Linked DNA regions of Anolis sagrei. The protein of the gene in region 1 purifies or fractionates together with the protein of each later gene. This does not show direct contact. Links are inferred from orthologs where the notes say so. Each region holds a gene or a part of one and is shown in the gene's direction. Other genes may lie near its edges. The genes, in order: RC3H1, CNOT1, NUFIP2 and FAU.

The links.
Region 2: the proteins of RC3H1 (region 1) and CNOT1 purify together in Homo sapiens (affinity purification with mass spectrometry; 5 studies listed by BioGRID, with this or other methods). This does not show direct contact. The link is inferred for Anolis sagrei from reciprocal best matches to the Homo sapiens genes RC3H1 and CNOT1.
Region 3: the proteins of RC3H1 (region 1) and NUFIP2 purify together in Homo sapiens (affinity purification with mass spectrometry; 3 studies listed by BioGRID, with this or other methods). This does not show direct contact. The link is inferred for Anolis sagrei from reciprocal best matches to the Homo sapiens genes RC3H1 and NUFIP2.
Region 4: the proteins of RC3H1 (region 1) and FAU purify together in Homo sapiens (affinity purification with mass spectrometry; 3 studies listed by BioGRID, with this or other methods). This does not show direct contact. The link is inferred for Anolis sagrei from reciprocal best matches to the Homo sapiens genes RC3H1 and FAU.

What each region holds. Positions count from the first base shown.
Region 1 is NC_090024.1:129,897,807-129,904,647, forward strand, and holds the start of RC3H1 (roquin-1), read left to right. Parts: upstream 1-3,823; 5' UTR 3,824-4,129; intron 4,130-6,841. UniProt on the Homo sapiens protein: Post-transcriptional repressor of mRNAs containing a conserved stem loop motif, called constitutive decay element (CDE), which is often located in the 3'-UTR, as in HMGXB3, ICOS, IER3, NFKBID, NFKBIZ, PPP1R10, TNF, TNFRSF4 and in many more mRNAs.
Region 2 is NC_090028.1:1,661,133-1,668,520, reverse strand, and holds the start of CNOT1 (CCR4-NOT transcription complex subunit 1), read left to right. Parts: upstream 1-4,373; 5' UTR 4,374-4,534; intron 4,535-7,388.
Region 3 is NC_090031.1:34,092,579-34,099,552, forward strand, and holds the start of NUFIP2 (FMR1-interacting protein NUFIP2), read left to right. Parts: upstream 1-3,972; 5' UTR 3,973-4,183; coding exon 4,184-4,502; intron 4,503-6,974. UniProt on the Homo sapiens protein: Binds RNA.
Region 4 is NC_090032.1:22,373,353-22,380,947, forward strand, and holds the start of FAU (ubiquitin-like FUBI-ribosomal protein eS30 fusion protein), read left to right. Parts: upstream 1-4,574; 5' UTR 4,575-4,657; exon of another isoform or gene 4,658-4,658; intron 4,659-7,595. Other genes in the region: MRPL49 (large ribosomal subunit protein mL49), read right to left, coding at 2,054-2,178, 2,662-2,827, 4,242-4,316.

The sequences.
Region 1 (6,841 bases):
GCAAAATATAAAGTTATTTTCATATGTTTTTTTTAAATTAGAAAACATATGGCCCCTTGTGTACTATGAGGTTGATATTACTGTATTACATTTTATCATAAGTAAAACAATGTAATGCCTGCAATACAGTGTGTGTGTGTGGGGGGGGGGGGGGTTGCATAATATCAAACCAAAAATAGTGAGATGGGGAAGTAGTTGACTCAAGCAATGTCATGGAAGGATGCAAGCCTCATGGGCGGCATTCTCTGTAAGAGTGCAGGTCTGCAGCATAGCCGTACTCCTGGATTCAACCCTGACCCTGGGAGCTCAGATTTCAGCAGTGGCAAGAAGTGCACATTAAGGCTTGTGCACTAGCTGCGACCATTTGTTGAGATGTCAGATCTAGTCACAGTGACACATGCCTCAGTTACATCATAGTGGGATTAGTGTAACACGCTTTGCAAGGACCCACTTTCAAAGAGTGTTCGGAGACTTCAGTTGCTTTAAAGCACTGAAGCCAGATGGCCAACTAGGGCTAGCTACAAGGTCCATACAACTTCTTTTGTTGCAACAGCTCCACTGGCTGCCATTATTATACCTTACAACCTACCTCTTTTCAGATGTGTTTTCAGATCTCTCTGTGTTATGCTTACAAGTAAAGGGTATAACTTCCTTTTTTAAAATGTGTGCCATTCAGTCGGTTGAAGATGTAGCGGAGCGCTAGTGGTCTCGTCCAAGAGGCGGGAGTGTAAAGATTTTTCCTAACAGTTCAGTCGCCATCATGTGTTGGAACAGTGAGGATTATGCTTTTGCCATTGAGGCCTACTTTTCGAGCGGATGTTCTGTGATTGCAACCCAGTGCGCCTTTCGGAATCACTTTAATTTAGCCCCATTGGCCCCTGTCCCGGACCGGACCGGAAATCAATTGTGACGTGGGTCACTACATTCAAACAAACTGCAAGTGCGTCAAGACGAAGAACTAGAGTCCCTCGGCCCATTAGATCACCTGAGAACACTGAGGCAGTGAGAGTTTCAATGTTGCGAACACCACGGCGTTCTGCGCGCAAACATGTGTCTGCCCTTGGACTTCCCAATCGTTCTGTGAGGAGAATTCTTCATGATTATCTTCATTTTGATCCTTACAAGATGGCGATTGTGCAGGAACTTTCTGAACGTGACTTCAATTCTCGGAGGATTCCGTGTGAGGTTCTTCTCGAAGTCATTCCTGAGGACGCTATTGTTTTTTTAGTGATGAAGCCCATTTTAATTTGTGTAGATCCGTCAACAAACAAAACATGTGCTACTGGGCTGACAACAATACTCAAGAATTGCATCAAAGGAGGGAGGGAGTAGCATTGGGTCGAGTTCAGCATATCATGTTCAGCATATCATGACTGAGGGAGAGAGTTGCCTTGGGTTGAGTTCAGTGTATAAATTACTGAGGGAGGGTTTTGCATTGGGTTGAGTTCAATGTATAAATAACTGAGGGAGGGAGTTGCCTTGGGTTGAGTTCAGTGTGTAATAACTGAGGGAAGTTGCACTGGGTTGACTTCAGTGTAGAATAACTAAGGGAGGGAGTTGCATTGGGTCGAGTTCATTGTGTAATAACTGAGGGAGGGAGTTGCATTGGGTTGAGTTCAGTGTATAAATATCTAAGAGAGGGAGTTGCATTGGGTTGGGTTCAATGTATAAATAACTGAGGGAGGGAGTTGCATTGGGTTGAGTTCAATGTATAAATAACCGAGGGAGGGAGTTGCATTGGGTCGAGTTCAGTGGGTAACATGACTGAAGGAGAGAGTTGCATTGAGTTGAGTTCAGTGTACAGTAACTGAGGGAGGGAGTTGCATTAGGTTGAGTTTGGTGTATCATAACTGAGGGAGAGAGTTGCATTGGGTCGAGTTCAGTGTGTAATAACTGAGGGAGTTGCATTGGGTTGAGTTCAATGTGTAATAACTGAGGGAGGGAGTTGCACTGGGTTGAGTTCAATGTATAAATAACTGAGGGAGGGAGTTGCATTGGGTCGAGTTCAGTGTGTAATAACTGAGGGAGGGAATTGCATTGGGTTGAGTTCAGTGTACAGTAACTGAGGGAGAGAGTTGCATAGACTTGAGTTTATTTATTTATTTATTTAAAAGTTTTGTATACCGACCTTCTCACCTCGCTTGAGGGACTCAGACCGGTTTCCAACCATAATATCACATACAATCAATAAAGCATCATAATACATATTACAGTAAAACATTAAAACAGCAATTACAATCAATAACTATAATGGTCAGTCGTCACACTAAAATCGTTGCTCTTCATCCTCCATCCATATCTCAGGGTGTTGACTCACTCGTCGAATGCCTGTTCAGTGTACAATAACTGAGTGGGGGAGTTGTTTGGGTTGACTTCTGTGTGCAGTAACTGAGGGAGAGTTGCATAGACTTGAGTTCAATGTAAAAGGAGCCCCCGGTGGCGCAGTGGGTTTAAGCCCTGTGCCGGCAGGACTGAAGACCGACAGGTCGCAGGTTCGAATCCGGGGAGAGGCAGATGAGCTCTCTCTATCAGCTCCAGCTCCTCATGCAGGGACATGAGAGAAGCCTCCCACAAGGATGCTAAAACATCAAAATCATCTGGGCATCCCCTGGGTAACGTCCTTGCAGACGGCCAATTCTCTCACAACAGGATGCTCCTGACATGGCAAAAAAAGGTATAAAAGGAGGGAGCTGCATTGGGTTGAGTTCAATGTATAAATGAGGGAGTTGCATTGGACTGAGTTCAATGTATAAATAACTGAGGGAGGGAGTTGCATTGGACTGAGTTCAGTGTGTAATAACTGAGGGAGGGAGTTGCACTGGGTTGAGTTCAATGTATAAATAACTGAGGGAGGGAGTTGCATTGGGTCGGGTTCAGTGGGTAACATGACTGAAGGAGAGAGTTGCATTGAGTTGAGTTCAGTGTATAATAACTGAGGGAAGGAGTTACATAGGGTTGAATTCAGTGTATAATAACTGAGGGAGGGAGTTGCATTGGGTCGAGTTCAGTCTACAGTAACTTTGGGAGGGAGTTGCATTAGGTTGAGTTCAGTGTATCATAACTGAGGGAGAGAGTTGCATTGGGTTGAGTTCAGTATATAACAGGGAGTTGCATTGGGTCAAGTTCAGCGTATCATGACTGAGGGAGGGAGTTGCATTGGGTTGAGTTCAGTGTTTAATAACAGAGGGAGGGAATTGCATTGGGTTGAGTTCAGTGTTTAATAACAGAGGGAGGGAATTGCATTGGGTTGAGTTCAGTGTATAACTGAGGGAGCGAGTTGCATAGGCTTGAGTTCAGTGTATAACTGAGGGAGGGAATTGCATTGGGTTGAGTTCAGTGTATCATGACTGAGGGAGAGAGTTGCATAGGCTTGAGTTCAGTGTATAATAACTGAGTGAGGGAGTTGCTTTGGGTTGAGTACATTTTGATACTTGGGTCGAGTTCAGTGTGTAATAACTGGGGGAGGGAGTTGCATTGGGTCGAATTCAGTGTAACATGACTGAGGGAGAGAGTTGCCTTGAGTTGAGTCCAGTGTACAGTAACTGAGGGAGGGAGTTGCATTAGGTTGAGTTCAGTGTATAAATAACAGGGAGGGAGTTGCCTTGGCTTGAGTTCAGGGTATCATGCCTGAGGGAGTGAGGAGCCTTGGGCCTAGTACAGTGCCTGGGCCCTGCTTGAGAGTGTGGGGGGCTTGAGAGGAAAGCCACTGCGGCCTGGCTGAAGAAGGCCACTCGGGGCGCCTTCCTGCGCAAACCCGGAAGCGGAGTGCCTCCTGGCCTGGCCCCGCCCCTCTCGGCAGCAGGAAGCAAGGAAGGAAGGGAGGAAGGGCGGGGGGAGGAAGAGCCGCGCATGAGCCGCGACGCCCGCGGAGGCGAGGCGGGCCTGGTGCTGCTGCTGGTGGCGGTGGTGCTGAGGGAAGGAAGCGCGGAGGCACCCAAGATGGCCCCTGCTGCAGAGGCGGCCCTGGCCGACGCATCCGCCGCCGCCGCCGAGGGCCAGAGGAGGGGAGAGGCGGCCGGGGCCGAGGAGAGCTCGCTGCTGCTGCTGCCGCTGCTCCTGGGCCAAGACGAGGTGGGCGCCACGGCCGCGCCTGTGCTCCGCAGCTGAGAGGAGCTGCCGCCGCCGTGAGGTGAGAGAGAGAGAGAGAGAGAGAGAGGGAGCCTGGGCAGAACAATAGGGCGGAGGCTCCGGCCTACTCGCGCCTCCCCCTCCGCTCCTGCCTTCGGGGGCAAGACCGGGCCCCGTCCCTCCTTTCAGGGCGCCTGCTTCAGCCAGGCCTCGCCTCTGCTCTGCCCCCTCCTTGTCTCTAGGCCGCAGGCTTTTGCCGAGCTCGATTTGCCTCCTTCCCTGGCGCTGTGTCTTCTCAACAAACTGAGGGGGGGGGGGGAAGGGGGTGGTGGCAGGTGTTAGACTTCTTCCCCCGGCTGTTTAATCCTTTCTCTTGAAAGAGGTGTGGATTTGTCTACATTGGGTAGAAAAAAAATACATTAAACCAAGGATCTCAGGCGTGTTTGGCATGATGGCAGATTGCTTTGGCATAAATCAAGCTTATAATTGACAACGTTTGGGATATTTTCTCCAAGGGCCCTTCCACACAGGCCTATAACCCAGAACATCAAGGCAGAAAATCCCACAGTATCTCTTTTCAACTGGAATATCATCCCACATTGACATATATTCCAGTTCAAAGCAGATAATCTGGGATTTTCTGCCTTGATATTCTGATTTACAAAGCAAAGCCCCCTTCCACAACTGAATAAAACGCCACATTGTCTGCTTTGAACTGGAATCTATATAAATAAAAATGTAATGTTCGCTTGTGGGATTAACATAACTCAGAAACCACTAGATGAATTGACACCAATTTTTGACATAATACGCCTAACAGTCCAATGAGTTTTCATCACCACTAAAAATACAAAAAACCCTCAGCAGAACAGACTTAAAAACAGCCAAAATACACCATATATATATATACACACACACTCAAATACATATACATATGCACACATACATACACATACGTCTATCTATACCCAAGCACACACAAATATACACACACACACATCTATATACACACACCTATATACACATGCACACATACATACACATATATAAACACAAGTATGCATAAAGACAAGCATACACATACACACAATATACATATAACCCAACAATTCTTTATTGATTGATTCTTTATAGTCAATTTTGACCATATCAAAACATGCAAAACATACACACTTGCCCATACATACAGTAAAACCATATATGAATACAAGGCATCCCGGCCTACTGGCCTGTCAACCCACTCCTAAATGATTGTGCAATTACAAGATAAAAAAATTAAAAGATTAAAAATTGATTAATTCCTTAAAATAGGGTTTGGGCAGCGGCGTGGGTAGGTAAAACTAGTGGCATGTCCATATTAAGTTTTTAAGCTGGACTTTTGTTGATGGCAGCAAGGTCTCCTCTCTCTGGTTCCATCTTCTTGTGGATGGCCAGTGCTTTTTGCGTAAATATACATATGCACTTATAAACACACAAATATATGCACACATATATACACATATGCCCACACATATATACACCCAAACATACCCCCCCCACACACACATATCTATCCATATCTATATTTCTATCTATATATATATACACACACACATATACACAGATACACAAATATATACACACATATAAACACATACAAAACACACATATATATAGACTGGGCCATAGCAATGCGTGGCAGGGGACGGCTAGTATATAATAATAATAATAATAATAATAATAATAAAACTTTATTTATACCCCGCCACCATCTCCCCGAGGCGACTCAGAGCAGCTCACATGAGGCCAAACCCGACAACACATCAATAAAATAAAAAGCAGTAAGCAAATAAAACAATACAATTAATATAAATCACATATAAACAATAACACGCAAGGATTTAAAAAACTATGGCCGGGCCAGTAGTTTAAAATTTTAAAAATAAACGCTGGGCATGAACAGAGGTAGGATGTATCTGGTAAGAGGATTTTAAAAGAAATAAAGGGAGAGCAACCCAACGAGTAGTTAAAATGCTTCTGAGGACATTTTGCTGGGAATTATTTCCTATATGGCAGTGTGGACTCAGATAACCCAGTTCAAAACAGATATTGTGGGATTTTTTGCCTTGATATTCTGAGGGTCCTTCCACACAGCCCTATATCCCAGAATATCAAGTCAGAAAATCCCACAGTACCTGCTTTGAATTGGGTTATCTGAGTCTACACTCAGATAATGTGGGATTTTTCTGCCTTGATGTTCTGGGATATAGGGCTGCGTGGAAGGGCCCTAAATTATATGTGTCCACACTGTCATATATTCCAGTACAAAGCAGAAAATGTGGGCTTTTATCCAGCAGTGTGGAAAGGGCCCTAACTGCTTGTGAGTATTGTGGCCTAAGTAAACAGAAGGGAGAAAAAGGTCTACCATGGCTCTGGTGAGCATTGCTTCTGAGCCCCCTTACACATAGCTGAAGAAAATTCCACATTTTCCGCTTTGAACTGGGTTGTATGGCAGTGTGGACTCAGATATCCCAGTTCAAGCAGATAATTGTGGGAGTTTCTGCCTTGATATTCTGGGTTATATAGCTTTGTGGAAGGGGCCTGAGTAAGGGATTAGGGGGCCCTGTGTGAGCTACTCTTTAAATTTATTTTTATTTATCATCAAAGTCCATAAGTATACATCCTTTCCCCATTTTACAATATCTTGGACAGGGGAGTATGCCATATTTTACACCAATGGTTTCCAACCTGTGATCCATGGACCACCAGTGGTTTTCAAGAATAAAAATATGGT
Region 2 (7,388 bases), on another chromosome or scaffold:
TATATAAGGTGGATTTATGAAGCTTATAAGCCTGATTTATGAATATATAATATATGTTTGTATATAAGGCGGATTTATGATGCTTATAAGCCTGATTTACGAATATATACGAATATATATTATATATTCATATATAAGGCGGATTTATGAAGCCTATAAGCCTGATTTATGAAGCCTGTTTTCTAAAGATTTCCAGGAAATTGAATGTTGTGTGTGTATTATATATATATATATATATATATATATATATATACACACACACACGCCACGCCATTGGATATATATATATATATATATATATATATATATGATACACACACACACTTATTTATTTATTTATTTACAAGTTTTGTATACCGACCTTCTCACCTCTCTTGACCGGTTTCCAACCATAATATCACATACAGTCAATAAAACATCAAAATACATATTACAGTAAAACATTAAAAAAGCAATTACATTCAATAACTACAATGGTCAGTCGTCACACTAAAATCGTTGTTCATCATCCTCCATCCATATCTCAGTGTGCTGTCGCACGCTGGGCCTGTGCATTAGACTGTACACAGGACATAAATTCTGTGTGCCCAACGGGACGCCGGGGCTGCCTCAGATTAGAGGCCCTTAGATTCCCCCAAACAGAGTCTTTAGAAGGCTTAAAGTAAGTCCAACAAAGTTCTTTTATTAAGGAACAAACAGGTACTTTAACGGTTTTCTTAACAGTCTATAGGCTCTTTCAATCTTGTTCACTGGGAACAGGCACTATCTTCATAACTGTATACTAACTAATGGGGAAATGCTTAACTTCTAATCTGGGCAGTCTGTACTTGCCTCTGTTGACGTGGAGCCCCTGCACCCGGTACCAACTGCGTCTGGCTTCCGCGAGCGACCCTTGCCTCAACAGAGCTTTGTAGACCTCCAGGGAAAAAGAAGGAGTTCAGGTTGCTGTGATGGCCGGCTGGAGTCCCTCAGCCAAGCTGTGGCTGTATGTCTCCTGGGCAAGCCGTAGGGCTGTATAACCCCGGCCAAGCTGTAAAAGACGAAGCTTTTCTACAGGAGCCACTTCGTTCTATGTCCTGTGCGAAAGGCTTCTCTGTGAGAACTAACTCAAAATGGCTCCTGTTCCCTCCAAAACTCAAAAAGGGGCGGGACCAGGGAACCTAACTATTATTGACAGGTGGCTTGCCCTATGATTGCAGCCAAAAGGAGGCTGTCCAGACCTTGAATCGGTACTTGGCTGCTGTGTCGGACTGGATGAGAGCTAACAAATTGAAATTGAATCCAGACAAGACAGAGGTCCTACTGGTCAATCGTAAGGCCGAACAGGGTATAGGGTTACAGCCTGTGTTAGACGGGGTTACACTCCCCCTGAAGATGCAGGTTCGCAGCTTGGGAGGGATCCTGGACTCATCGCTGAGCCTGGAGCCCCAGGTCTCAGCAGTGGCCGGGAAAACTTTTGCACAATTAAAACTTGTGCACCAGTTGCGCCCGTACCTTGGGAAGTCGGATCTGGCCACAGTGGTCCATGCTCTTGTCACATCCTGACTAGATTACTGCAACGCACTCTATGTGGGGTTGCCTTTGAAGACTGCTCGGAAACTCCAACTAGTCCAACGGGAGGCAGCCAGATTGCTCACCGGAGCGGCGTACAGGGAGCATCCCACCCCCCTGTTGCGTCAGCTCCACTGGCTGCCGATCCAATTCCGAGCACAATTCAAGGTGCTGGTTTTGACCTACAAAACCCTATACGGTTCCGGCCCAGTGTATCTGTCCGAACGGATCTCCCTCTACATCCCACCTCAGAGTTTAAGATCTTCTGGGGAGGCCCTGCTCTCGACCCCACCACTGTCACAAGTGAGATTGGCGGGGACGAGGAGCAGGGCCTTCTCAGTGGTGGCCCCCCACCTGTGGAACTCACTCCCCGGGGAGATCAGATCAGCGACTTCCCTTCTCTCATTCAGGAAAAAGCTGAAAACCTGGATGTGGGACCAGGCTTTTGGAAACTCTGGCAGCTAAAAAGAAAGACCATAATGATGGGCAAATAATGACGAAACCTATTGGACTTATGGAACTCGAAACACTGACCATGAGATTGTTTATTGTTGTGCTATTGTGTTATATATTGATGTTTTTAATCTGTTAATTGCTTAATTATGGTAATCGTTTTATATATGTATGTATTTGGATAAGGGCATCGAATTGTGCCTTCTTTTTGTAAGCCGCCCTGAGTCCCCCCTCGGGGGTGAGAAGGGCGGGGTCTAAGTAGCAGAAATAAATAAATAAATAAATAAAAGAAGCCACCTATCTGCAGGGTCCCTGAAACTTAGGACTGCAATAAACATTAAATGCAAAAGCAAACAGAAATGGAGCTCCTGGCACAGCTGTACCAGCACACTCAGGGTATTGGCTCACTCGTCGAATGCCTGTCTTTCTGAAAGTCAGGATAGACGGGGTGGTTCTGATCTCCGGTGGGAGAGAATTCCAGAGTCGAGGGGCCACCACCGAGAAGCTTGCCATCTATCGGACAGGTGGCAAGCTATTCAACCTCAGCAGACTGAAAGCCAAAACCAAGGTTACAACAACAGCTGTTATAGAACTCCAGTATGCTGATGACAATGTCGTCTGTGCGCATTCAGAAGAAGATCTACAAGCCACTCTAAACACCTTCGCAGAAGCATACGAGAAGCTCGGCCTGTCACTGAACATTGAGAAAACCAAGGTGCTGTTCTAGCAGTCACCAGCCAACCCCTCTCCAATGCCAGAGATACAGCTTAATGGTGTAACATTAGAAAATGTGGACCATTTCCGCTCCCTTGGCAGCCACCTCTCCACCAAAGTCAACATCGACGCTGAAATACAACACCGCCTGAGCTCTGCGAGTGCAGCATTTTCCCGAATGAAGCAGAGAGTGTTTGAGGACCGGGACATCCGTAGGGATACTAAGGTGCTTGTCTATAAAGCTATTGTCCTCCCAACCCTGCTCTATGCCTGTGAGACGTGGACTGTCTACAGACGTCACATGCAGCTCCTGGAACGTTTCCATCAGCGCTGCCTCCGGAAAATCCTGCAAATCTCCTGGGAAGACAAGCGGACAAACGTCAGCGTGCTGGAAGAAGCAAAGACCACCAGCATTGAAGCGATGGTCCTCCGCCATCAACTCCGCTGGACCGGCCACGTTGTCTGGATGCCCGACCACCGTCTCCCAAAGCAGTTGCTCTACTCCGAACTCAAGAACTGAAAACGGGATGTTGGTGGACAGGAAAAGAGATTGAAAGATGGGCTCAAAGCCAACCTTAAAAACTCTGGCATAGACACTGAGAATTGGGAAGCCCTGGCCCTTGAGCGCTCCAGCTGGAGGTCAGCTGTGACCAGCAGTGCTGCAGAATTTGAGGAGGCACAACTGGAGGGTGAGAGAGAGAAACGTGCCAGGAGGAAAGCGCGTCAAGCCAACCTCGACCGGGACCGCCTTCCACCTGGAACCCAATGCCCTCCTCACTGCGGAAGAAGATGCAGAGCAAGAATAGGGCTCCACAGCCACATACGGACCCACAAGGAAACCCATGATGGAAGACCATCTTACTCGTCCAACGAGGGATCGCCTAAGTAAGTAAGTAAGTAAGTACCGAGAAGGCCCTGTCCCTCGTCCCCACCAGACGCGCTTGCGAGGCAGGTGGGACCAAGAGCAGGGCCTCTCCAGATGATCTTAATAATCTTGATGGTTCATAGGGGAGAATAGGTTTGGAGAGGTAAATAGGGCTGGGTATATATGGTATATATATATATATATATGGATAAATCAGGTGCATATTTATCCAACTAGCTCAAGAGGCCTTCCTTGGTGGCAGAAAAGTTATATTAATACATTACAATATTGCTATTATTACCCTTGACCCAAAATCAACAAGGAATGGCTCAGATCTAGAGTGATTCCCAAGCCTTTGGCCTCTAATTGTTTTGGACTACGATTCCCAGAATTCCTGCCCATTGATCTAACGCAGCTGAGGCTTCTGGGAGTTGGAGTCCGAAAGAGCCAAAGTTGTGCCCCATTCATTGAGGCGAAAGGACGGACTGGTGTTTTCCTCTGCTCCCGCCTCGAGACAACCGCGCTGTCATCCCATTGGCCGGATTCACAAACTCCCTCAGAGCCCTGCCTTCCGATTGGGCAGCGAGGACGTGAAGCAACCAATCCGAACCGGGAGGCGGGTTCTTTCCACCTTTTCCCCGCCTCCTCAGCGCTGAGGGCAAAAAAATAAAAGTGCTTTCCCTCAATGTCGGTCCGTGATTGGATGCCATCCGGAAGGCGGGGCTTAAGGAGCGCGAGGCCATTGGATCCCGCCGGTGGAGGCTCCTCCCCGTTGCCTCTTCCCGCCGCGGGGCAGGACGGGAAGAGAAAGGGCCGCGACGTGAGCGCGCGACTCCGGCCGCCATTTTGTTTCGGAGCGAGCGGAGAAGGAAGGAAGGAAGGAAGGGAGAGCGGCTCAGGAGACCGAGGAAGCGAGGGAAGGCAAAGAAGGCAGGCCCCGGCACGCTCGAGGTAAGCCCGGCCTCAGGGAGCGCCTCCCCCGCCTTCTGGAGGTACCACAGCCCGGTCTGGGAGTCAATCGAGGCCCCGGCGGGAGTGCAGGCCCAGGCCTCGCTCGCGGAAGCGCCTCCCGGGCGGGTTATTCGCCCTCCAGGGGGGTTGGACTACAACTCCCACCATTCCTAACAGCCGGTAGGCTGTTAGGAATGGTGGGAGTTGGAGTCCAAACCCCCCTGGAGGGCCCAAGTTGGAAGGGAAGGGAACAGGTCCCGAATTACGAACCAGGACGGCCCAGTAAGTGTTGGGATCTCGTATACAGGGGCATTTCTTCAGAACAGCTACAAATATCCATATCTATCTATCTCCATCTGTATGTGTGCCTGTATATTTATGTATATATACATATATCTATGTATATTCATATGTGTGTCAGGACAGCTCCAGCAACAAATACCCATATCTATCTCCATATGTATGTGTGTCTGTATATTTATGTATGTATATATATCCATATGCCTGGGTGTATCCATATGTCTGTATATATCCATGTATATATGTGTGTGTGTCTGTATATTTATGAATATATACATATATGTATATATATTCATATGTGCCTGTGTGTATCCACATGTCTGTATATATCTGTGTATATATGTGTGTGTGTGTCTGTATATTTATATATACATATATATATATATATATATATATTCATATGTGTGTGTGTATCCATATGCCTGTGTTTATCCATATGTCTATATATCCATGTATATATGTGTGTGTCTGTATATTTATGTATATACGTATATATATTCATATGTGTGTATGTATATCCATATGCCTGTGTGTATCCATATGTCTGTATATATCCGTGTATATATGTGTGTGTGTCTATATGTGTATATATATATGTGTGTATGTATATATATATACACACACACACATGCACACATGTATGTGTGTCTGTATATTTATGTATATATACATATATGTATATTCATGTGTGTGTGTTTATCCATATGCCTGGGTGTATCCATATGTCTGTATATATCCATGTATATATATGCGTGTGTGTATGTATGTATGTGTGTATGTATGTTTATGTATATATACATATATGTATATTCATGTGTGTGTGTGTTTATCCATATGCCTGTGTGTATCCATATGTCTGTATATATCCATGTACGTGTGTGTGTGTGTATGTATATATACACACATATGTATGTGTGTCTGTATATTTATGTATATATACATATATGTATATTCATGTGTGTGTGTGTATATCCATATGCCTGTGTGTATCCATATGTCTGCATATATCCATGTATATGTGTGTGTGTACACACACACACACACACACACACACACATAAACATGGATATACACATATACAGAGTCCACCTGGGGAGATAGGGTGGGTTACAAATAAAGTTGATGTCCAATATATACACAATCCTATAATCATAATAATAAAACTTTATTTATACCCCCATACCTATCTGTCTATCTATCTCCATATGTATGTGTGTCTGTATATATGTGTGTATATTTACGTATATATACATATATTCATATGTGTGTGTGTATATCCATATGCCTGTGTGTATCCATGTTTGTATATATCCATTTACGTGTGGGTGTATGTATGTATATATTATACACACACCAGTTGTACCCGCCACGCGTTGCTGTGGCCAACCTTCCCTCTTTCTCTCCTTCTTTCCCTCCTTCCTTCTCTCCCTCTTTCTTTCCTTCTCTTCTTCCTTCTCTACCTTTTTCATTCCTTTCCCCCTTTTCTTTCTCTTCTGCTGTCACTCTTTTCTTCCTTCTCTCCTTCTCTCCTTCTCTCCTTCTTTCTCTACATCTTCCCCCTTCCTTCCTTCCTTCCCTCTTTCCCTTTTTTCTTTCCTTCTCTCCTTCCTTCCTTCTCTAACTTCCCTTCCTTCCCCCTTTTTCTTTCCCTCCCTCTTTCTCTTCTTCCTTCCTTCACTCCCACTTTCCTTCCTTCCTGCCTGCTTCTCCTTCTCTTCTTCCTTCCTTCTCTATCTCTCTTTCCTTCCCCATTTTTCTTTATCTTCTGTCTCTCTTTTCTTCCTTCTCTCTTTCCTTCTTTCCTTCCCTCCTTCTTTATTATTAATATGTTGTATTACATTATAATATTATCAATATTATATGTATATCCAATATATTGTATTGTATATTATACGCACAGTGCAGGAGGCAAGATGGAACTGCCTTCATGGCCCCTCTCTTCATTCTGATCTCAGAGCAGCAGTTGGTCCAATATATATCCATCCATATATTTTTAACATTCATATATACATATATATATCCATATGTGTATATATACCAATATATATATCCCTATATGCCCATACACATATATCCTTCCATATATATTTATCTCAATGTTTGTGTGTGTGTATCTCTCTCTCTCTCTCTGGATAGCATAGGGAAGTGTGGACACCCCTGTGGTGTTTCCTTTGTTGTCTCTGCCCCTGTTTGGAAGATTTCACCGCATTTTCTGTCTATGTGAGAATTGGATTTTGGAAACTCTGGCTTGTTTTGGAGACAGGATTGGGGATAAAGCTTCAGGAGGAGGAAGCAAGCTTGTTTTCTCCTTCCCTGGAGACTAGGACATGGAACAATGGCTTCAAACTACAAGAAAAGAGATTCCATCTGAACATTAGGAAGAACTTCCTGACTGTGAGAGCCGTTCAGCAGTGGAACTCTCTGCCCCGGAGTGCGGTGGAGGCTCCTTCTTTGGAAGCATTTAAACAGAGGCTGGATGGCCATCTGTCAGGGGTACTTTAAATACAGGGGGTTTATTTATTATTTACTTTATTTCTATACCACTTTCCTCAGC
Region 3 (6,974 bases), on another chromosome or scaffold:
AGAGGAAGAGAAGGAAGGAAAGAGATGGGAAGAGAAGGAAGGAAATAGAGGAGAGCAGGAAGGAAAGTGACAAAGGAGAAGAAGAGAGAAAGAAAAAAGAGAGGGAGAGGAAGGAAGGAAAGAGAGAAAGGAAAGGAGAGGAAGAGAGAAGAAAGGAAAGAAAGAGAAGAAGGAGATGAAGAGAGAAGGAAGGGAGGAAGGAAAGAAAGAAAGAAAGAAAGGGAGGAGAGAGTGAAAGAAGGAACGAAAAATACAAGAGAGAGAGGAAAGGAAGAGAAAAAGGAGAGCAAGAGAAAGGAAAGACGGAGAGGAAAAGAGAAGGAAGGAAAGAGAAAGGGAAGGAAGAAAGATGGAAAGAAAGAGAAAGGAAAGAAGGAGAGGAAGAGAGAAAAGAAAGAGGAAGGCAAGAAAAAGGGAGAAAGGAAATAAAGGAAAGAAGAAGAGGAAGAGAGAAGGAAGGAAAGAGAAAGAGAAGAAGGAGCAGAAGAGAGAAGGAAGGAAAGAGAGAAAGGAAAGGAGAGGAAGAGGAGAAGAAAAGGAAGAGAGAAGGAAGGAAAGAGAAAGGAAAGGAAGAGAAGAAAAGGAAGAGAGAAGGAAAGAAAGAGAGAAAGGAAAGAAGGAGGGGAGAAGAGACTGGAAATATGGGAAGAGAAAAAAGAAAAAAGAAGGGGAGAAAAAGGGAGGATGGAAAGAAAGAGAAAGAAAAAGAAAGAGGGAGGAGAGAGTGAAAGAGGAAGGAAAGAAAAATACGAGAGAGAGGAAAGGAAGAGAAAAGGGAGAAGGAAAGGAAGGAAAGAAGGAGAGAAAAAGAAGGAAAGAAAGAGAAAGGAAAGGAGGAGAGAAAACGAAGGAGAAGAAGGAGAGGAAGAGAGAAGGAAAGAAAGAGAAAGGAAAGAAGGAAAGGAAGAGGGACAGGAAATATGGGAAGAGAGAAAAGAAAGGAAGGGGAGAAAAAGAGAGGAAAGAAAGAAAGAAAGAGGGAGGAGAGAGTGAAAGAGGAAGGAAAGAAAGAAAAACAAGAGAGAGAGGAGAGGGAGAGAAAAAGGAGAGTAGGAGAAAGGAAAGAAGGAGAGGAAAAGAGGAAGAAGAAAAGGAGAGAAAGAGAGAAGGAAGGGGAGAGAAAGGGAGGAAGGAGAGAAAGAGGGAGGAGAGAGTGAAAGAGGAAGGAAAGAAAGAAAAACAAGAGAGAGGGGAAAGGAGATAAAAAGGAAAGAAGGAGCCACCCCACAAAAGTCCCCGAAGGGTCCAGAAGAAGCAGAGCTTTTTCCACATCTGCCTTTCTCAGAAGAGGAGGAGGATGAAAGAGAAAGGGAAGAAAGATGGAAGGAAAGAGAAAGGAAAGAAGGAGAGGAAGAGAGAAAGGAGAGGAAAAGAGAAGGAAGGAAAGAGAAAAAGGAAAGGATAAGAAGAGAAGAAGGAAAGAGAAAGGAAAGAAGGAGAGGAGGGAAAGGAAAGGAAGAGAGAAGAAAGGAAAGAGAAAAAGAGGAAGAGAGAAGGAAAGAGAGAAAGGAAAGAAGGAGGGGATGAGGAGAAGGAAAGAGAAAGAGAAGGAGAGGAAGAGGAGAAGGAAAGAGAGAAAGGAGAGGAAGAGATAAGGAAGGAAAGAGAAACAGAAGAAGGAAAGAGAGAAAGGAAAGAAGGAGGGGAAGAGGAGAAGGAAAGAAAGAGGAGGAAGAGAGATGAAAGGAAAGAGAAAGGAGAGGAGAAGGAAAGAGAAAGGGGAGGAAGAGAGATGGAAGGAAAGAGAAAGGAAAGAAGGAGAGGAAGGAAATGAGAGGAACAGAGAAGGAAAGAAAGAGAAGAAGGCGAGACTGGAAATATGGGAAGAGAGAAAAGAAAGACGAAGGGGAGAAAAAGGGAGGAAGGAAAGAAAGAGGAAGAGGGAGGAGAGGGAGAAAGGAAGGAAAGAAAGAAAATCAAGAGAGAGAGGAAAGAAGGAGAGGAAAAGAGGAAAGAGAGAAAAAGGAAAGAAGGAGCCACCCCACGAAAGTCCCAGAAGGCTCCAGAAGAAGCAGAGCTTTTTCCACGTCTGCCTTTCTCAGAAGAGGAGGAGGAGGAGGAAAGAGAAAGGGAAGAAAGATGGAAGGAAAGAGAAAGGAAAGAAGGAGAGGAAGAGGGAAGAAAGGAAAGAGAAAGGAAGGGAGAGGAAGAGGAGAAGGAAAGAGAAAGGGGAGGAAGAGAGTTGGAAGGAAAGAGAAAGAGAAGAAGGATAGGAAGAGAGAAGGAAGAAAGGAGAAAAGGAAATGATAAGAAGAGAGGAAGGAAAGAGAAAGAAAAGAAGGAAAGGAGGAGAGAAAAGAAAGGAAGAGAGAAGAAAGGAAAGAGAGAAAGGGAGAGGAAAAGAAAGAAAGAGAAAGGGAAGAGGGAAGGAAGGAAAGAGAAAGGAAAGAAGGAGAGGAAGAGAGAAGGAAGGAAAGAGAGACAGGAAATATGGGAAGAGAGAAAAGAAAGAGAAAGAAAGAAGGAGGGAGGAGAGAGTGAAAGAGGAAGGAAAGAAAGAAAAACAAGAGAGAGAGAGAGGAGAGGGAGAGAAAAAGGAGAGCGAGAGAAAGGAAAGAAGGAGAGGAAAAGAGAAGGAAGGAAAGAGAGAAAGGAGAGGAAGAGAGAATGAAGGAAGGAGAAGGAAAGGAAGAGAGGAAGAAGAAAAGGAGAGGAAGAGAGAAGGAAGGGGAAAGGGAGGAAGAAAAGAAAGAGAAAGAAAGAGGGAGGAGAGAGTGAAAGAGGAAGGAAAGAAAGAAAAACAAGAGAGAGAGAGGAAAGGAAGAGAAGAAGGAAAGAAGGAGAGGAAAAGAGAAAGAGAAAAATGAGAGGAAGAGAGGAAGAAGAAAAGGAGAGGAAGGGAGAAGGAAGGGGAGAGAAAGGGAGGAAGGAGAGAAAGAGAAAGAGGAAAGAAAGAAAAACAAGAGAGAGAGGAAAGAAGGAGAGGAAAAGAAAAAGAGGGAAAGAGAAAAAAAAGGAAAGAAGGAGCCACCCCACGAAAGTCCCCGAAGGCTCCAGAAGAAGCAGAGCTTTTTCCACGTCTGCCTTTCTCAGAAGAGGAGGAGGAGGAGGAAAGAGAAAGGGAAGAAAGATGGAAGGAAAGAGAAAGGAAAGAAGGAGAGGAAAGGAGAAAGGAGAGGAAGAGAGAAAGAAGGAAAGAGAAAAAGGAAAGGATAAGAAGAGAGGAAGGAAAGAGAAAGGAAAGAAGGAGAGGAGGGAAAGGAAAGGAAGAGAGAAGAAAGGAAAGAGAAAAAGGAGAGGAAGAGAAGAAGGAAAGGAAGAGAGAAGGAAAGAGAGAAAGGAAAAAAAGGAGGGGATGAGGAGAAGGAAAGAGAAAGAGAAGGAGAGGAAGAGGAGAAGGAAAGAGAGAAAGGAGAGGAAGAGATAAGGAAGGAAAGAGAAAGAGAAGAAGGAAAGAGAGAAAGGAAAGAAGGAGGGGAAGAGGAGAAGGAAAGAAAGAGGAGGAAGAGAGATGAAAGGAAAGAGAAAGGAGAGGAGAAGGAAAGAGAAAGGGGAGGAAGAGAGATGAAAGGAAAGAGAAAGGAAAGAAGGAGAGGAAGGAAATGAGAGGAACGGAGAAGGAAAGAAAGAGAAGAAGGCGAGACTGGAAATATGGGAAGAGAGAAAAGAAAGAGGAAGGGGAGAAAAAGGGAGGAAGGAAAGAAAGAGAAAGGGGGAGGAGAGAGTGAAAGAGGAAGGAAAGAAAGAAAAAGAGAGAGAGGAAAGAAGGAGAGGAAAAGAGAAAGAAGGAAAGAAGGAGCCACCCCGCGAAAGTCCCCGAAGGCTCCAGAAGAAGCAGAGCTTTTTCCACGTCTGCCTTTCTCAGAAGAGGAGGAGGAGGAGGAGGAGGAAGGGGCGGGCACGCGCACTCCCTCCCTCCCTCCTTCTTCCCTCCTTCCTCTCTTCCTTCCTTGCCTTGCCTTGGGAAAGCGGAAAGAAGGAGGTGGGACCTAAAGAGAGACCGGAGAGGCTTCTGATTGGTCTGAAGGGGGAGGGAGAGAGGTGCCAATCAGGCGGGGGCGCGCTTGTCTTGGGCCCTGCGCGCGCTCCCGAGCCAACGAGGAACTGCTCCTTCTTCTCCTCCTATTTCTTCTCCTTCTTCTTCTGCTGCTACTGTTACTCCTCTGTGTATCTGTGTTGATACATTTTTGCTATTTTGTGGCAGAGAGAGAGAGAGAGAGCGAGCCAAGAGGGGGGCTTTTCAATGGAGGAGCAGCACCCTCTCCCTCCTTCCTCTGCATCGCACCACCATTCCCATCATCCCCACCACCACCACCATCACCACCACCACCACTACTACTACTACAACCACAACCACCACCAGCATCACCAGCATTACGAAGGAGGAGGAGGAGGAGGAATTGGAGGAGGAAGCAGCAGCAACCATGGGGCCAATGGGAATGAGAGGAAGGCCCCTTTGGCCCCACAGAGGAACCCCAAACACGACCCCAGGAACGGGGGGACAGTGGGGAGCTTTGGGGGGAACCCCCAAGCCGCCCAGGAGCCGACCCGAAGGAGAACAGGTGGGTTTTCCGCGGGGGAGTAAACCGTGCGTAAAAAGGCACCTCTCCAAAAAGGGACCCCTCTCCGAAGGAGAGGGGTCCCTTTTTGGAGAGGTGCCTTTTTACGCACGGTTTTTGGGGTACTTAACAACACCCCATCGAAACGATTTTTAGGGTGTTTATACATAAAACGATGGGGAACACGATCCCGTTGGAATGGGGTCGCTAGGGTGTACACGCGAGGCGTGGGAACGTCACGAAGAGGGTCCCCCTATCCCCCTCTCCATTTTTTCCCCTCTTTTGCGCCTTGGCTAGGCGCGGCCAAGGCGCACAGGAAAAGGTGGTTGTGGGGGGAAAAATACCGTCTTTTGGGGGGTCTGGAAAGGGAAATTCGCCCCCTATGGGTACAAGGGACTCTTGGGGGGATGTCTAAAGGATGGGGTGCCCGCTTTGGGGTCGGGAAAGGGGTGCAAAGCCAGGCCCAAAAGGCGCCTCTCCACGCGCCTTCCCAAGTCTCGCCCCACCCAAAGGGAAGCACAAGGGAAGAGGAATGGTATTTTTGGGGGAGGGTGGATTTGAAATATTTTTTGGGGGGTCTTTAGGTTTTCTATGGATGGAGGGAAGGTTTTGGGGTACCCTAAGTAGGGGGGAAAGGGGGGAAATAGAGCCAAAGGCGAAGGAAGAGAGCCAGGGAAAGGGGAGACCCTTCCACAACACCCCATATTTTTGGATAACTTATTGCCTTTCCAGAGGAAGATCAAGTCTGATTTTTTGGGGGGATACTTCAACAGCACCCCCATATTTTGGGGGGACACTTACTGTTTCAAGGCCAAGGAAGAGAGACATGGAAAGGGAAGATCCTTCCACAACACCCCATATTTTTGATAACTTATTTCCTTTCCTGAGGTTCAAGTCTGGGTTTTTTGGGGGGGATATTTCAACAGCACCCCCATATTTTGGGGGGACACTGTTGCAGTTTCAAGGCCAAGGAAGAGAGCCAGGGAAAGGGGAGACCCTTCAACAACACCCCCCATATTTTTTATAACTTAATTGCCTTTCCTGAGCTTCAAGTCTGGGTTTTTTGGGGGGTGATCCTTCAACAGCACCCCCATATTTTAAGAGGATCCTGTTACTGTTTAAGGGTCAAGGAAGAGAGACAGGGAAAGGGAAGATCCTTCCACAACACCCCATATTTTTGGTCAACTTATTTCCTTTCCAGAGGAAGATTAAGTCTGGTTTTTTGGGGGATCCTTCAACAGCACCCCCATATTTTGGGAGGACCCTGCTACTGTTTAAAGGCCAAGGAAGAGAGCCAGGGAAAGGGGAGATCCTTCCACAACTCCCCTATATTTTTGGATAACGTTTATTCCCAGCTACATCTGAGCTTGAAGGTTGGTTTTGGGAGGGGGGTCCTCCAACAGCACCCCCATATTTTGGAGGGACTGTTGCAGTTTCAAGGCCAAGGAAGAGAGCCAGGGAAAGGAGAGACGAATCAACAACACCCCATATTTTTGCATAACTTAATTGCCTTTCCAGAGAAAGATCAAGTCTTTTTATGGGGGATACTTCAACAGCACCCCCATATTTTGAGGGGACACTGTTACTGTTTCAAGGCCAAGGAAGAGAGCCAAGGAAAGGGGAAACTCTTCTATAACACCGCATATTTTTGACAACTTATTTCCTTTCCAGAGGAAGATTAAGTCTGTTTTTTTGGGGGAGAGGTCCTTCAACAGCACCCCCATATTTTGGGGGGACATTGTTGCAGTTTCAAGGCCAAGGAAGAGAGGGAAAGGGGAGACCCTTCCACAACACCCCATATTTTTGGATAACTTAATTGCCTTTCCAGAGGTTCAAGTCTGGGTTTTGTGGGGTGATCCTTCAAAAGCACCCCCATATTTTGGGAGGATTCTGTTGCTGTTTCAAGGCGAAGGAACAGAGCCAGGGAAAGGGGAGACTCTTCAACAACACCCCATATTTTTGGATAACTTAATTACCTTTCCAGAGCTTTAAGTCTGTGTTTTTTTTGGGGGGGGGATCCTTCAACAGCACCCCCATATTTTGAGAGGACATTGTTGCTGTTTTGCATTTCTTTAAGGGATGGATTCTAACACTTTTAGGGTGTCCCCTACTTTTTGGGAACCTTCCCAATGGAAAGAGAAGTTTTCTTGGGTACCCCCCCAAAAGGACTTTCAATGGGTCCCCGTTTCTCTTGGGACCCCGCTTTTTTCTTAACTTTCCAAAGAGACTCTCAAGGGTCCCCCTTTTTGTCTGTGTATCTTCCAAATGGGAAAAGGGGACTTTTAGAGGTCCCCCTTCTTGGGAATCTCTCCAAAGAGATAGGATTTCTTCCTTTCAAGGGGTCCCCCCACTTTTCTGTGTACCTTCCAGATGAGGGGAAAAGGGACTTTGGGCGGAGTGATTATAGGGTTCTTTCCCCTATATGTGGGATGGTTTGGGGCTCCCCCCCCCCCCACTTGAGTATCTTTGAGGCTT
Region 4 (7,595 bases), on another chromosome or scaffold:
TGGGATGTGTAGTTTGGGACAAGGCCTTGAGAACAGACAGTTCCATCGAATGCAGTAGTGGCAATTACAGGGGGAAATCACATACTGAATTGCAGAGGCCGGTCATAAATTCAATAATATATTATATTATTCTATTTTTCACATACTGAATTGTAGAGGCAGGTCATAAATTCAATAATATATTATATTATTATTCTATTCTATTTTTTCACATACTGAGCTGCAGAGGCAGGTCATAAATTCAATAATATATTATATTATTATTATTATATTATTTTTCACATACTGAATTGCAGAGGCAGGTCATAAATTCAGTAATATATTATTCTATTATTTTTCACATACTGAATTGCAGAGGCAGGTCATAAATTCAATAATATATTATTATTATATTATTTTTCACATACTGAATTTCAGAGGGAGGTCATAAATTCATTAATATATTATTCTTATTATTTTTTCACATACTGAATTGCACAGGCAGGTCATAAATTCAATAATATATTATTATTCTATTCTATTTTTTCACATACTGAACTGCAGAGGCAGGTCATAAATTCATTAATATATTATTCTATTATTTTTCACATACTGAATTGCAGAGGCAGGTCATAAATTCAATAATATATTATTATTATATTCTATTATTTTTCACATACTGAATTGCAGAGGCAGGTCATAAATTCAATAATATATTATTATTCTATTATTTTTCACATACTGAATTGCAGAGGCAGGTCATAAATTCATTAATATATTATATTATTATATTATATTATTTTTCACATACTGAATTGCAGAGGCAGGTCATAAATTCAATAATATATTATATTATTATTATTATATTATTATTATATTATTTTTCACATACTGAATTGCAGAGGCAGGTCATAAATTCATTAATATATTATATTATTATATTATATTATTATTATATTATTTTTCACATACTGAATTGCAGAGGCAGGTCATAAATTCAATAATATATTATATTATTATTATTATATTATTATATTATTTTTCACATACTGAATTGCAGAGGCAGGTCATAAATTCAATAATATATTATATTATTCTATTATTTTTCACATACTGAATTGCAGAGGCAGGTCATAAATTCAATAATATATTATTATTATTATTATTATTATTATTATTATTATTATTTTCACATACTGAATTGCAGAGGCAGGTCATAAATTCAATAATATATTATATTATTATTATTATATTATTATTATATTATTTTTCACATACTGAATTGCACAGGCAGGTCATAAATTCAGTAATATATTATTATTATTATATTATCTTTTGCATACTGAATTGCAGAGGCCGATCATAAATTCATTAATATATTATATTATTATTATTATATTCTAATATAGCCCTATTATTCTATTCCATTCTCACATTATTGTATTACATCCTCATATTACTCTATTCTATTATGTTCTATTTCATTCTTGTATTATTAATTTCTAATCCATCCCCAGAGGTGAAACTGTCTTTCGGGTCAACAGCAAGCTAGACAAATGGTTGGGAGCTTACTCCGGCCCGGGCTGTTTTCGAACTCATGACCTTCCAGTCAGTAGTGATTTTAATGTAGCTGATGCCCAACCAGCTGCGCCACAACTCGGTATTGTATTTTATATACACATATATAAAATCATATAGTTTGCTGTGTGTCAAAGGCTTTCGTGGCCAGAATCCCTGGCTGTCTGGCCTTGTTCCAGCAGCATTCCCTCCTGACATTTTGACCACATCTATAGCAGGCATCCTCAGAGGTTGAGGAGTCTGTTGGAAATTACGAAAATACCTGCAGAATGTCCAGGGTGGGAGAAAGAACTCTTTGTCTACTGGAGGCAAATCTGAATGTTGCAATTGGCCAGCTTGATTAGCATTGAATGGCCTTGTAGCTTCAAAGCCTGGCCTATTGATAGTGACTTAATTCTGCTTTTTTTTAATCAAACGGAGCACATCTATTGGGGCGCCTAAACATCTCCGGAGGGGGATCAGGGGGCCACTTTACCCCTCTGAAGGGCCACTTTACCCAGATGTCCCCTTCGATCTTCCGGATGACGGTCATCTTCCTGCACCCGTGGGTGACGTCCGTGTAAACGGGGATGTTGTGCATGCGTGACCGGCGGACAAAGAAAGGCAGGTCAGGAGGCGGATCTGGAGGGAGGAAGGGAGAAACTGTCTCACCAGTCATATTGCCATATAATACACTATACTAATATATACTAATATATATAACATAATAATACATATAATACAATATAATACTACTACTAATAATACAATATTACATGTAATATTACTAATAATACTGTAGTACAATATGGGAATGTATGCTACTAATATTGTGCTATGCTAATAATATAATATTTTGTATTTACATATAACTTGTAAGGCGCTCAGAGTCTCCCCTTTATTTGCCGTAAATAAATAAACATAACAGCCTTATTTTCGCAAAACAAAACCTTAAAAATATACAAAATACTTCTTATCTCCGCATTTCCTTGCATGCTCCAACAAAAACAAAACACTTTTCTTTACAAAAACGACAAAATCAAAATATTGAAATAGGATGAAATATTGCAATTCATAAGAAGTAAAATTCTTGAAGCAAAACTGGAGAAACGAATATATAAGAACCTTGTGGGGGTCTCCACCCGGAGGGTGTGGGGTATTTCTCGTGCTTTGGTGGCTCCGGGACTCGGGTGGGAGGGATGAGCCTCTCCACAAAGCGATACTCCTCACGGGACTCCTCGATGCCGGGGTATCTGGGCTCCAAAGAGGCGGGCTCCGTTGACACCTGGCTCTGCAAGAAGGGAAGGAGAGCACAGGCAGGGGCTGAGTTTCTAACTTGGGGGGGGGGGGGAGGCTGATTGCTCAGTGATGGAAGGAAGGAAGGGAAGGAGGAAGGAAGAAAGGAAAGATTGAAGGAGAAAGAGAGGTAAAGAAGGAGGAAAGAGTGAAGGGAGAAAGAAGGAAAGGGGGGAAAGGAGGAAGGAAGGAAAGAGAAAAGGGAGGTTTTGAAAGATGGAAGGAGAAAGAGAGAGGGAAAGGATAAGGAAAGGGAGAAAGGAAAAGATGGAAAGATGGGGAGAGGGAAGGAAGGGAAGGAGGGAGGTAAGGAAGCAAGGAAAGAGAAGGAAGGAATTAAGGGAAGGAGGAAGGAAGTATGAAAGGGAAGGGGGAAAGGGAGGACACAGAAGGAAGGATGAAAGGGAGGGAGGAAATAGGGAAGGAGGGAGGAAAGGGGAATGAATGAATGGAGGAAATGAAAGAAGAAGGATGGAAGGAGGAAGGAAGGAGGAAAGGAAATGGGGAAAGGGAGGACAGAAGGAAGGAAGAATGAAAGGGAAGAAGGAGGGGGGCAAGTGGGAAGGAAGGAATGAAGGAAAGAGGAAAGAAGGATGAACGGGAAGGATAAAGGAAGGAAAGGGGGAGGGAGGGAGGAAGCAAGGAAAGAGAAGGAAGAAAGGAAAGGGGGGAAGGGAAAGGGGGAATAAGAGGGAAGGGGGAGGAAAAAGGAAGGAAGGAAAGAGAAGTAGTAAAGGGGGAAAGGGAAGGAGGGAGGAAAGAAGGAATGAATGAATGAAGGGAAGGGAGGATGGATGAAAGGGAGGAAGGGAAAGATGGAAGGAGAGAGGTAAGGAAGGAAGAGAAAAGGAGAGGGAAGGGGTGGTAGGAAAAAAGGATGAGAGGAAGAGAAAGGAAAAGAGGAAAGGGAAGCAAGAAAGAAGGGAAGGAGGAAGGATGAACGAGGAAGGGAAGGATGGATGGGGAAAGGGAAGGAAGAAAAAGAAGAGAGGGAAGGAGGCGGAAAGAAGGAAGGATGAAAGGGAGGAAGGGAAAGAGGGTAGGAGGGAGGGAAGAAGGCAAGGAAAGAGGAAGCAGAAGGAAGGGAAAAGCAGGAAGGAGATGGATGAAAGAAGGAAAGAGAAGGAAGAAAGGGATGAATGAAGGGAAGAAGGAAGAAAGAGGGAAAGGGAGAGTGAAAGGAAGGAGGGAGAGAAGGAAGGAAGGAAGGAAGGAAAGAGAGGAGGAAGGGAAAGATGGAAGGGGAGAGAGGGAAGGAGAAAGAAGGAAGGGAGGAAGAGAAAGATGGATGGAAGGAAGGGAAAGATAAAGGAAAGAGAGAAGGAAGGAAAGACAAAAGGGAAGAAAGGAGGAGGGAAAGAGGGAAGGAAGGGAAAGATAAAAGGGGAAAGAGGGAAGACTCCCTTTACCCGCCTGATGCTGAGGAGGAGGAGAAGCCTGGGCCCAGTTTCCCTCCTCGCCAAAGACAGCGCCAGCGCCGCCATCTTGGCGCTTCCCCGTCGCGCCGCTTGATGACGTCTGCCTCTGCGCAGGCAGCCAGGCGATGACGTTTGGCACCGCCCCCGAAGCAGAGAGGAGAGAGCCGGGCGTCACCAGCCAAGTCTCGCGACGCTTGGCATGAACTCTCCTTAGGGACGGCTGGCCGGGCAGATCTCGCGAGACTTGGTAAGCCAACGCCGCCGAAGAGGAGAGGAGAGAGGAGAGTTGGCGTCACTGCGCCTGCGCGTACCTCCCCGTCAGAGGCCCGCCCCCTCTACTTCCGGCTTCTCAATTCCGACTTCCTTTTCTCTCTGGCCTCCATCTTGGCGCCTCGCGTGGAAGGAAGGTGAGCCCCCCCTCAGGAAAGAGAAAGAGGCCTCCTAGTTATATTCTTCTTATACTTATGTCAATCAAGTATACACAAATGTATTTATGTTATTTACTATTTGGAGACATATGTGTATCTCAATATTTATATATGCACATTTTAATATTTTATTTAATTATATAGACACATATTTATATTATATATATATATATATATGAAAATTATGGATACACAAATATATTATTTACTATTTGGAAAGTGTGTATCTAAATATTTAATTATATAGACACATATTTATATTGTATTTAATTGTATTTAATTATATAGACACATATTTATATTTTATTTCATTATATATGCACATAATATATATGAAAATTATGGATACACAATATATTTATATTATTTACTATTTGGAAACGTGTGTATTTAAATATTTAATTATATATGCACACATATATTTAATTTAATTATATGTACACATATTTATATTATATATATAATATAATATAAGGCCTTCTCCCCTTCGGTCTCTCTGTCTCATATTTACATTCTTCTTATACTTATGTGAATTAAATATATACAAATATATTTATATTATTTGCTATTTAGATATACGTGCCTGTATCCAAATATTTAATTATATGTACACATGTTTATATTATATATATTTGAATATATGAAAATTAAGGATACACAATATATTTATATTATTTACTATTTGGAGATGTGTGTATCTCAATATTTAATTATATATACACATTAATTTTATTTAATTATATGTACACATATTTATATTATATATATATTTATTTATGAAAATTATGGATACACAATATATTTATATTATTTACTATTTGGAAATGTGTGTGTATCTAAATATTTAATTATATATACACATATTTATACTATATATATATTTATGAAAATTATGAATACACAAATATATTTATATTATCTATTTGGAAACGTGTGTGTATCTCAATAATTATATAGACACATATTTATATTTTATGTAATTATATAGACACATAATATATATATGAAAATTATGGATACGTAAATATATTTATATTATTTACTATTTGGAGATGTGTATGTGTATCTAAATATTTAATTATATATACCCATATATTTTATTTAATTATATTTAATTATATGTACACATATTTATATTATATACTTATTTATTTAGAAAAATTATGGATATGCAATATATTTATATTATTTACTGTTTGGAGACGTGTGTGTATCTAAATATTTCATTATATATACACATTTTTATTTTATGTATACACATATTTATATTATATTATATATATATATATATATATATATATATATATATATATATATATGAAAATTATGGATAATAATAATAATAAACTTTATACCCCACCACCATCTCCCCAAGGGCCTTGGAGCAGCTTACATGAGGCCCAGCCCAACAACACAGCAATAAAACAGGAAAGCAATAAACAAAAACGATACAATTAGTATAAATCACATATAAACAATAACACACAAAGATTTAAAAACCTATGGCCAGGCGAAATGTGTTAGTTTAAATTTAAAAAATAAATGCTGGACATGAACAAGGTAGGATATATAGAATCATAGAGTTGGAAGAGACCTCCTGGGCCAGTCCAACCCCATTCTGCCAAGAAGCAGGAATATTGCACTCAAATCACCCCTGACAGATGGCCACCCAGCCTCTGTTTAAAAGCCTTCAAAGAAGGAGCCTCCACCACACTCCGCGGTAGAGAGTTCCACTGCTGAACGGCTCTCACAGTCAGGAAGTTCTTCCTCATGTTCGCGTGGAATCTCCTCTCTTGTAGTTTGAAGCCATTGTTCCACATCCTAGTCTCCAGGGAAGCAGAAAACAAGCTTGCTCCCTCCTCCTCCCTGTGGCTTCCTCTCACATATTTATCCCTGTCCCTCATCATATCTCCTCTCCGCCTTCTCTTCTTCAGGCTAAACATGCCCAGCTCCTTAAGCCGCTCCTCATAGGGCTTGTTCTCCAGACCCTTGATCATTTTAGTCGCCCTCCTCTGGACACATTCCAGCTTGTCAATATCTCTCTTGAATTTTGGTGCCCAGAATTGGACACAATATTCCAGATGTGGTTTAACCAAAACAGAATAGAGGGGTAGCATGACTTCCCTAGATCTAGACACTAGGCTCCTCTTGATGCAGGCCAAAATCCCATTGGCTTTTTTTGCCGCCACATCACACTCCTGGCTCATGTTCCCCTTCCTCCCCACAAGGACTCCAAGATCTTTTCCACACGTCCTGCTCTCGAGCCAGGCATTGTCCCCCATTCTGTATCTTTGCATTTCATTTTTTCTGCCAAAGTGGAGTATCTTGCATTTGTCACTGTTGAACTTCAGTGACAAATGCAAGGAGGGTTTTAAAGAAGTGAGGGGAGCGCAATCCAACGAATAGTTAAAGTGCATTCTGAGGACATTTTGCTGGGAATAATAATAATAATACTTTATTTATACCCCGCTACCATCTCCCCAAGGGACTCGGTGCAACTTACATGAGGCTAAGCCCACAATACATCAATACAAGCAATAACAGACACAATACAAAGCAATTAAAATAAATCTCATACACAAATAGCATTTATTTCCTTATTCTGGGAAGGCACACTGGAACAGCCACGTTTTCAGGCTCCTCCCAAAGACTGCCAATGTTGTGGCATGCCTGATATCCCTGGGAAGTGAATTCCAGAGATGGGGGGCCACCACCGAGAAGGCCCTCTCCCTCGTCCCCACCAATTGTGTGTGCGAAGGGGGCGGGAGCGAGAGCAGGGCCTTTCTGGACAATCGAAGAGGTCGTGTGGGTTTGTACACAGAAATGCGGTCACGCAGGTAGGCGGGTCCCAAACCGTTCAGGGCTTTGTAGGTAAGAATCTGCACCTCTGGGGTCAAGCCAGCCTTTTCCAGTGGAC